2 linked regions of the Daphnia pulex genome follow. The protein of the gene in region 1 purifies or fractionates together with the protein of each later gene. This does not show direct contact. Links are inferred from orthologs where the notes say so. Each region holds a gene or a part of one and is shown in the gene's direction. Other genes may lie near its edges.

Region 1 (4,768 bases):
AGTTTCTCTCGCTATGTTAGCATCTCGCAATCCTTCAACTAGCCTTTGGTATTCCTTCTCCAACCTTCTGTTGTCATTTTCTTTCATGCTAAAGAGTTAAAAAAGTTAACAACTCTGAAATTAATCATGCACATCCAGTTGTGATTACTTTGAAATGGTGGTTTCCAGAATTTGAATGCTATTGGAGCATTTATCCAGCAGACGTTTCGTTATCTTGACGCTCATCGAATCTATACAGACATTATCTAGAAAAACCAATATTTAATTAGTAGGGCAATTTTAAGAGGTTACGTTTCAGTAAAATTACCAATATTGTGGGCTTCATCAAAGACAACGACGCTAGTTTTTGAAATTTCCTTGGAAACGACTTCTGCAATCTTGGGATCAAGTAAGTAATGATAGCTGTACACCACAATGTTGGCGTGAGTTATCTATAATTTAAATTTGGTATTAATTTGGTTGTACAATATTTTATAAATGTCATGATCTAACGGTGTATCGGGCAAGAAAATAAGGACACCATCCTTTGGCCTGTCCATATTCCTTTAAATCGTCCAGGTTGTACACCCCAGGAGGCAGCGGAAATTCTTTTCCATGAGCATCGAATCCTTCATAAAAGTTGCATACTGGCACAGCGTCATCACCTGCATGACGAGCTCTTACAAACGATGCCGTGAGACCGTAACAGCGCCCGTCGACTACTTTTCCTTCTCTCTCCTTACTGACCTGTTATGTAATTGTGTTGTTGATTAACCATACTTTTAAATCTTTTTACTATTTAATTCATATTACTGAGGGGTGAATGCAGAGATTCTTTCTGGAGCTAAGTGCCAAGCCAAGAATGTTTTGTTCCATGCCCATCTCTTTTTCGTAGTAATTCATTAATTTTCGCAATTCTTCCATAACCTTTTCAATTTCAGGAACAGTTCTTGAACAGTAGACTAGTTTGGTTAAATCAAGGGGGTGAGCCTTCATGTAGGCCACAATTAATGATAGCAATGTTGTTGTCTTCCCCGTTCCAGAAGGCATTTCCAATAAACAGTGACCCTGAATTGATCCAACATCAACAGATATTTATGTAATTTCAAGTTATACTAGTATTGGACGATACAACATACTTTTGCATCGAGAGCATGTTTCAGTTCGAGCATGTATGAAAACTGCTCCGGGTATATGTAATCGTAAGGGAAGTAGACGAGGAGTCCATCAACATTTAATCTATGAACATGTAAATAAATTAAATGTGGTCTCTGAATTGACAAAAGTGCGGGATTTACTTCATTTTTGTACGAGAAAGTTTACAACAACATGCACATAAAGTTGCTTGCCACTTGTTCTTCTTCAAATTTCTAGCAGACTAATTTTCCTTTTCACGTGTCGATAATGGTTACCAATAGATGGCGCGTAGTCAAGGCAACCAATTTGTTGTTTAAAAATATTTGTTGCGATTAGTTTTTTTAAACGATCTCATGGAAAGATATATTGTGAACGGCAGGATTGGGGAAGGGGCACACGGGATCGTTCTTAAAGGTATTGACAAGTCCACAATGAAACTGGTCGCCATGAAACGGATAGCGTTGAAGAACATTAACGAGCAGGGATTGCCGAACTCGGCTGTTCGTGAATTGCTGGCTCTTCGCCTGATCCGCCATGAATATGTAGTGAACCTAGTGGACTATTTCCCACAAGGATATTCGCTTGTGTTGGTCTTTGAATATTTACCAATAGATCTCTACGAATTTTTGCGCTCCAACTCCAAACCTTTGCCGACGAGTCACGTGAAAAGCTGTACCATATTTACATCTCTACAATCAGATTTTAGGCATTCAAATAACCAATATGCAATCCTTTCCATTTAGACATGTGGATGCTAGCCAGCGCTGTGGAATATATTCATAGTTTGGGTATTATGCATCGGGATTTGAAGCCGGCCAATTTGCTGATTGGTTCCCGAGGCGAACTGAAAGTGACCGATTTCGGATTGTGTCGTACGTTCAATCATTCCGAAAAGGCTCAAAGATTATTCACACATCAGGTGGCTTCGCGGTGGTACAGAGCACCGGAACTGCTCTATGGTTCTCGCAACTATGGCAAGTTTCATTTTAATTTAAAAATGCCATGTTAATTCTAACACCTTTTTCACAACAGGACCGGAAGTCGACCTATGGGCTATGGGCTGTATCTTTGGTGAAATGTTGAAGAATTCTCCCCTTTTTCCGGTAAATAATGGCCAATGTTGTCAATATAATATGTTGTAACAGTATCCGGATTTCCATCAAACCCTAGGGAGAAAATGACATTGGCCAACTGTGCACAGTCATTCAAGGTCATTAACAATACGGTAATCATAATCAAGGTGAATGGCATTAACTCTTTTGTGGGTAATTACATAGTACTAGGCACTCCAGACGAAGAAAATTGGCCAGGTGTATCAGCATTGCCAGATTTCCACAAAATTTCATTTACCAAAACTCGGAAACAAATCTCCTTTAAGAAAATCCTGATTGATGTAGACGAATCATCACGAACGATGCTGGAACAATTTCTTCGCTATTGCCCCCAATCACGAATAACAGCTAAACAGGTCATTTCTAATCTTCTATCTTTTAAAAATTTAAATCTAATTAAAACTTTGCATTGACAACCAGTTTTTGGAAGCTAAATATTTTCAAGAAGATCCGTTGATGACAGCAATAGAAGAGCTGCCTCTCCCGACCGAGAAATCAGTGAATACCGCAACGGCTGAATTTGTTAACTGGGACTGGTCTTCTACACATTTTTAAATAAAAGTCTCAAAAAAACAACTTTTTCAATGACAGAGTGCTGCCATTTATTTTTATTATATTTGCTGCTGGCTGGCGAGGGGAGATCTTAATGGGAATATTTTACGCTACTAGAACTGGTTGGTATGTCCCTTGGCGGAGAAAGTTTTCATTAGGTCAAGGTTTCGTCCTATAGCGTTAAGAAAGGTCACGTAGAGAAAAAATGCCATCTCATACTCGGAGAAAGTAGGGAGGTGGAGCACCGAGGACGGGGGGAGGTGGAAGTATAAAGGCACAAGAAGAAGGTGCTGCGCTGAATTGAAAGTAGTCTACGTGTGCTCGTCCTCTACGTGTTGTAACTTTCGATTTCTGTCGCCAAACTCAATTTGCAACACAAAATGTATATTAATAAGGTACTACTTTATTGACAAATTTACGCAATATTATTTTAGAAACTAACTTATCTATGCAGAAAGGTTGCGTCGCACTGGTCTTTTCTTTCACCTTAATTTTCAGTATACACAACTGCGAAGCCAATAAGCGCGAAAAACTTAAAAAAGTTTTCGGATTTCTCGATTTTGATGCCAGGGACGTTAAAGAACCTACGGCGTTTGCTCCGAGAGCCCCCGTGGTTGTTGTTCCGCAGTATCGGTCCAGCAACCCAATATACATACAACCGTTAACAAACCCTGTTCCTGAGGTGAGTTTGGTGTAAAATTAAATTGTTAATAAGGTTGTCATTAACAGGATCATCTTTCATTCAATCTAGGTTATGCTCGGTGGTGTCTCTCCGTACTCGAATCTCGATGCTAATGGAAGGAATAATCCTGCACTGTGGCATTATTCAAATTTGTATCCAGAGCATCAATAATATCATAGTAACGTGTATGACCAAAGAAACTGTCATTTATTTTAACCGTTAACAACTATCTTTCTATTTTAAACCATAAATACAGCCCACATTTATTGATTTTATTGTGACTGTTTTAAATGTTTCAACAGAATTTCCAATGCTACTTTTTTAATTTTTACATAAAAAATTAAGTGAACGAAATTAATTAGTTTTTTGTTAATTATAAAACGATACATTTCCACATAAGTGATGGCCTACTCGGTTACCAAACTCAGAACTTTCACTCAGAAGTCTCAGGGTCTCAGTGATAAGATGGAAATTGAACACGCAAGCGACAGATAATTGGGCAACTATTCCAACTATAATTCATATTTTTCAGATCGCGCGTTTCATCGTGCAAGTCACGATTCTTCCCAGTTGATAGGTCATTTGAGTGACTCTTACTTAAATGCTTTCAAAGTCCCCGTGTCGGTTTTTGAGAGAAAAATGGCAAAGTGATAAAAACAGTGATAAATAATATCGGACGTGATGGCTCCAGTGCGTGTCTCACGATTATTATGCGCGTTCATATTATTCACGAAAACTTCACGCGAGAATAACCGAACAGAAAATATATCCGACAACGTTGCAATTCCATTGATTTGATCGTCAGCAAAAAAGATGCAGACATTGTTTTGACAGGTGAGTGTAACTTGTGCTAGTTACAAGAACTAGGAGGATATTACCTGTACAGTTTTCTTTGGCTTATTTTACCGAATCGTTTTTAGTGAATTTTAATATGGCTGCAGCTAAGAAATCCTCGGAAGGAACAGAACTTGTTCAACAAGCAGAGAAACAGTAAGTCTTTTCTGTTAAGTTTACATTTGATGATATGTTAATATTGTTTCATTTTCTTCACCAAATCAATCACATTAGCTTAAAAACTTCCTTGCTGAAATGGAAACCTGACTATGAATTGGCAGCCGACAGTTACAATAAAGCTGCGACATGTTTCAAAACTGCAAAAGAGCTACAGAAGGCAAAGGATTGTCTGTACAAAGCTTCAGATTGCTACAAACAAACTAAAGCGTATCCTTTTACTGTTACTCACTATTCTTTATGAATAATTAATGTAGGGAGATTTTATAATTTGTTAAGAACGTTGTTGTTTCGG
Region 2 (5,227 bases), on another chromosome or scaffold:
CGAGGACATGACATCACCGTCGTCACCAATTATTTCACCGCCGAATTTTCCCAGCTGGATGGTAATAACGTTCGCGAAATCGTCCTCGACCAATTAACCGTCGACATGTCCCAGTATCCCAACGCCTTCGACAGTTTACTTTCATCGTCCAATCATTGGTGGAACCTGGGCTTTTCTCACCTGCTGCTTCTCAGCATGTTCAGGTACACCCGCCAGGTTACCGAGGCCCTTTACGGCGACGCCAGAGTCCAGCAGATGATGGCCAACGATCAATTCGATCTGGTGATCGCCTCACAGGTACTGAGCACGGCCAGCGCTCCGCTGGCCTGGCACTTTCAAGCGCCGCTGATTGTGACCAGTCCCAACACTCTTTTCGCGGGCATGGCCACCGTGCTGGGCGATGATGAGCACACGAGTTACGTGCCGTTCGTCTTCACTCGCTACACCGATCAGATGAATCTGGCACAGAGAACCATCAACACCGTAGTCACGAAAATGTGCACGTTCTTACAGCAATTGTACGAAGAATTGACGATCCCGGCCATCGTCAAGGAGACGGGCGGCATCACGGGCTGCCCGCCCGTTCAGAACATCATTAGAAATGTGACAATGGTCTTCACTAATAGCCACCCGAGTTTCACTTATCCAAGATCTCTGCCGCCGCAAGTCGTCGAAGTGGGCGGACTCCATTGCCGGCCGGCCCAGGCTCTGCCCAGCCATTTGGAGACTTTCTTATCATCGGGACGATCGGACGACGGCGGCGGTTTCTTGCTCTTCAGCGTGGGCAGCCTACAGCGAATGGAAGACATGCCCGAACGGGTTATCCAGTCGTTCATCGGGACCTTCGCACGTTTGCCCGGCGTGCGGGTCGTTTGGCAATGGAAGGGCAAAAGGAGGACAGATTTACCTTCAAACGTTTTGGCCATTCCTTGGTTGCCGCAACAAGATCTTTTAGGTAATACAATAATCTGAAAATTATAGGAACATTTCATTTTTAATCGGTATTCATTTAATTTAATTGACAGGACATTCTGGCTGTCGGGGTTTTATCACTCACGGAGGACTCAACAGTTTACAGGAAGCCATTTTTCACGGTGTACCCGTACTGGGATTGCCTTTCGGCATTGATCAGTATTTAAATTTAGCTCGGGCCGTGAATGACGGTTACGCATTGCAGCTTGAATGGAGGGATATCGACGAAAGTACCTTGAGCGCAGCCATTGAGAAGTTGCTGTTTAATCGCAGGTATTATTTATTACGCAACGATTTCCGCTGAAAGCCTTGGACTATGTATAATTTTGTTTTTATCGTTTTTCGTTCGTGAATTTTTGTGCAGCTTTTCGATCGCTGCGAAAAGATTGTCCGGCCTTTTGCGTGATCAATTACAGTCGCCGTTAGAACGTGCCGTTTTCTGGACCGAGTACGTGATTCGTCATAATGGATCGATGGACCACTTGCGATTGGGATCCCGCAAATTGGCACCTTACCAGCGTTCGCTGATTGATGTGTACCTCGTGTTAGTTCTGATCGCCAGTCTTCCACTCTGGCTCGTTTTCTTGTGTTTGCGTTGCTGCTGGTCTACTAATAAAACCAAGGCGGCAACTGCAATGTCAAAGAAAAGCAAGCAAGAGTAGTAGAACCTAGATTTTAAGAGTCAAGTTTTCCAGGAACTTGTATAAATTGCTTGAGCAATGAATAAATTTATTCCTTCTTTTTCACGAAGCAAAGTGTTTCAACATGAACAATTTAACAGATAAGAAAATTCTTACAACATTTTGACGTCGATTTGACGTTCGTTTTCCCCAGCTCAGATCTTTGTCACTACTTAACAAGTGATACTCTAGAGACATTTATTTTAGTTTTAAAGATATTGCGTATCAAATTTTTATACTGTTAAAGAAGTAGGATTGTACTTATTTGTTGAATTATCTTAAACGACAGAAGATTTATGAAGCGACAAACACACAAAACTCAACTTTCAAATATTTATAGATGTTTAGCAAATATTTGCATACTAATCCGTGAGATATAAACATAATAGCAAATAGCGTAGATACCAACTAGTTTCGATTTCGATTGATTTTGTAAAGATTTTGAGTTTCAAAAAGGCCGGTCGACGTTCTACCGTCGTGGCGTCGTCTGCTAGTAGTCTGTAGCCTGTCAATAAAAATCTGGTTCTTTAGTAACTGCTGGCTGGTATCAAATAAACTCTTCTAGAACACTCGGTTACCTGAAAGTTCATCATCATGGAAGAGTCTACTGAAACCAAAGAAACTGTCCAAGAGATTGTTACACCCGAAGGTTTGTTTCAACTATTGAAATATTTCAAGAATAGTTTCCTTCAATTTCAAGTCACGTATTTTCGGTTCGTTTGGTTGGCTGACGTTGCTTACGCATTCAGGTCAGGTTAGTGAGGATACCAAAGAGCATGAAGACAGCCAAAAAATTAAAGTTCCAGACCCGAGCATTGATGAAGAGGCTGGAAAGATGCAACCTTTGGAAACTCCAGACAAGGATAATATCGAAGACACAACATTGATTGAAGGGGCCTGGGCTGATATTTTGGGCAGTGGTCAGTTGAAAAAGAAGGTGAATTTAGCTTAAATGCATGATCTTTGTATATGTTTATCATCAATTACAGTAAGTGATGACAAACTCATTTTGTTCATCAATTACAGACCGTCAAAAAGGGAATACCAAACACCAGACCAACAACCAATGAAATATGCACAATTAAAATCTCTGGCCAACTTGTAGATGGTAAAGCTGTTGATGTTCAAGAAAAGTTCTCTTTCCAACTTGGAGACTTGGAGGTATAAAGTTTAGCATTAATTTAAACTGTAAATGTGTGACAATAATTGAGAGAGAAAGCAGAGTATATATTTTACTGATTCATATGCTTTCAATCCAGGTTATTCAAGGCATCGATCTCATCGTTGCATTGATGGACTGTCACGAAATCAGTCAAGTGGAGGTTCAGCCACGTTTTGCTTATGGAAGTCTCGGAAATGGCAAAGATATTCCACCGGAGGCCACCATTCTTTACACAATTGAACTGCTAGAGGTATCTAAAGAAACAGATTTAGAATTGGTCAACATCGACGAAAGACTCCGGATAGGGTAAGCACCGTCAAATATATTCCGAGCGAGCAATACGGTGAATTCCAACATGTATATTACTTGCAGAAACGCTAAACGCGAACGTGGCAACTGGTGGTACAGCAGAGGAGATTTCACGTCATCTATTCAGTGTTATCGGAGAGCCTTGGATTATCTCGACACAGAAAATGAAACAGAAACGGTACAAATTTGGCTTCTTAACGTTATTTGGGATTTGCATAGATTGTTCTTCTTTCAATAGGATTCTCCAGAGAAATTGCAAGAGATCTTGGATGACCGGCTAAAAGTCTACAATAACATGGCAGCAGCACAAATGAAAATCGAGGCCTACGATGCAGCTCTGAAATCAGTGGACAATGTTTTGAGATGCCAGAAAGACAATGTGAAGGCAATCTACCGCAAATCCAAGGTTTGTGCACCGTTTTTATTCTAAAAAATCAACCGCTATTTATTTGTCTGACATTTTTCAAACAGATTGTTACGGCCATGGGTAAAATGGGCGAAGGAATAGCACTGTTGGAGAGGGCTTTACATCTCGATCCATCCACCAAAATCGTCCAGCAAGATTTAATGCGCCTGCAAGCCAAGCAGAAATTGGAAGTTCAGAAGGAGAAGTCTTTATACAAGAAAATGTTCAATCTGAATTCTACACCAGCACCCACCACTTCGCAAGGAAAGCCCAAAGTTAAGCTGACGGTCAGTTGAAATGGGAGGCTTTTTCTCTTTTTCAAATTAATTAATTTACATTTAAAAGGTGCCATGGACATTGATGATCGGTGCAGTGACTGCAGTCGTTGCCAGCTACGTTACATACCGTTTCAAACTCTTCTAAAATATTTGTTGGTGGTTCGTGTGTAAGCTGCTGATCAAATATGAAGTTGCTTTGGAAAATTTCAAGGCCTATCGACCGGTTTAAGTTAAAAAAAAAAAAATTATTCGTCATCAGTTTGAATGGAATCATTCCCTTATCTTGTTCGTAACTTTAAGTGGCCGCAATCATTTCTTTTTGCGAAAAAGTAATAAATGCCTTCCTTAAAACGCTTTAGAAACCCTTAAATTGATGAAAATATTCCTTGTATTGTATTTCTTATTACACACACAATAATGTTTGATCATTACAAATCAGGTAAATCACAGCCGGTGTAAGCGCCTAGTTGAGCACAGTGTTTGAGGAATGGACCCCAATGTTCATCGTGGACAAGTAAATGTGGATTTCCGATGACAATCAACAGAGATTTAGCACGAGTGACAGTGACATTGAATCGCTTGGGACTGCGGAGGAATCCCAAATGCTGGATGACGTCTTGATCGACGTAATACTCGTGTGAGCGAACGGTACTCACGATAATGACGTCCCTCTCTTGGCCTTGGAACTCTTCGACAGAGCCCACTTTGAACGGGACTAGATCGTTGGACTTGATGAAACTGCGGATCTTTTCAACCTGTTTGCGATAGGGTGTGATGACACCGACGTTGATTGGATCCACCTTGGCGTTGAGGAGCAGCTGCAAGTAGCGGATGACGTGGTAGACCTCAGCCGGATTGCACCAAGAGGGACTGTCAGTTTCCTGATAGTTTTCACCGCGGATGCCGTGGAAGAGCAGAGGAATTCCAGGTTTGGGCAACCAACTGAAATGGGCCATCTTTTCGGCCGTCTCCACTGGTGCACAGGACACGAGCTCATTTTCATAAAACATCAAAGAAGGCAAAGTTAGGAGCGAAGGATGAGACCGATAATTGCGGACAAGCTTCGTCAGTAGATTGGGGTTGTAGTGGCCACTGTCGGCGAACGATTTGCTGCGCGAGTAGAGCGGATTGTTCGACAATCGTTCCAGCAAGGAAAGGCTTAATCCATAGGAAGAAGAATGCTGACTCATTAACACAGGTCCCAGCTGCTTAGGATCTCCGGCTAGAATGATCTGTCCCGGATTGGAATCGCAGCGAATCAGGCCGACCGAGACTAGAGTTTCCGGCTCAGTGGCCTGTCCAGCTTCGTCGATAAAGAGGTGAGTGAAATGTCCGATCTGAAGGCACATGGTGTAAACCTTTCCTGACGTAGTGCACGTCGTGACTAGAATGCGGTGGCGAATAGCCTTTTGAAGTTCGT

What was found. The genes of interacting proteins can lie anywhere in the genome.
Region 2: the proteins of cyclin-dependent kinase 20-like (region 1) and peptidyl-prolyl cis-trans isomerase FKBP8-like purify together in Homo sapiens (affinity purification with mass spectrometry; 5 studies listed by BioGRID and IntAct, with this or other methods). This does not show direct contact. The link is inferred for Daphnia pulex from reciprocal best matches to the Homo sapiens genes CDK20 and FKBP8.

The regions. Positions count from the first base shown.
Region 1 is NC_060017.1:8,162,109-8,166,876, reverse strand, and holds cyclin-dependent kinase 20-like, read left to right. Parts: upstream 1-1,373; 5' UTR 1,374-1,469; coding exon 1,470-1,788; intron 1,789-1,859; coding exon 1,860-2,090; intron 2,091-2,148; coding exon 2,149-2,219; intron 2,220-2,286; coding exon 2,287-2,326; intron 2,327-2,393; coding exon 2,394-2,584; intron 2,585-2,648; coding exon 2,649-2,783; 3' UTR 2,784-2,817; downstream 2,818-4,768. Other genes in the region: general transcription and DNA repair factor IIH helicase subunit XPD-like, read right to left, coding at 1-88, 149-245, 308-431, 493-726, 793-1,047, 1,119-1,218, 1,278-1,282; uncharacterized protein LOC124193271, read left to right, coding at 3,161-3,175, 3,235-3,462, 3,532-3,633; gamma-soluble NSF attachment protein-like, read left to right, coding at 4,394-4,452, 4,531-4,683. UniProt on the Homo sapiens protein: Required for high-level Shh responses in the developing neural tube.
Region 2 is NC_060018.1:11,872,653-11,877,879, forward strand, and holds peptidyl-prolyl cis-trans isomerase FKBP8-like, read left to right. Parts: upstream 1-2,116; 5' UTR 2,117-2,246; coding exon 2,247-2,301; intron 2,302-2,401; coding exon 2,402-2,589; intron 2,590-2,678; coding exon 2,679-2,813; intron 2,814-2,911; coding exon 2,912-3,120; intron 3,121-3,186; coding exon 3,187-3,301; intron 3,302-3,361; coding exon 3,362-3,529; intron 3,530-3,594; coding exon 3,595-3,816; intron 3,817-3,874; coding exon 3,875-3,952; 3' UTR 3,953-4,158; downstream 4,159-5,227. Other genes in the region: UDP-glucosyltransferase 2-like, read left to right, coding at 1-955, 1,026-1,245, 1,337-1,634; RNA helicase Mov10l1-like, read right to left, coding at 4,236-5,227. UniProt on the Homo sapiens protein: Constitutively inactive PPiase, which becomes active when bound to calmodulin and calcium. Seems to act as a chaperone for BCL2, targets it to the mitochondria and modulates its phosphorylation state.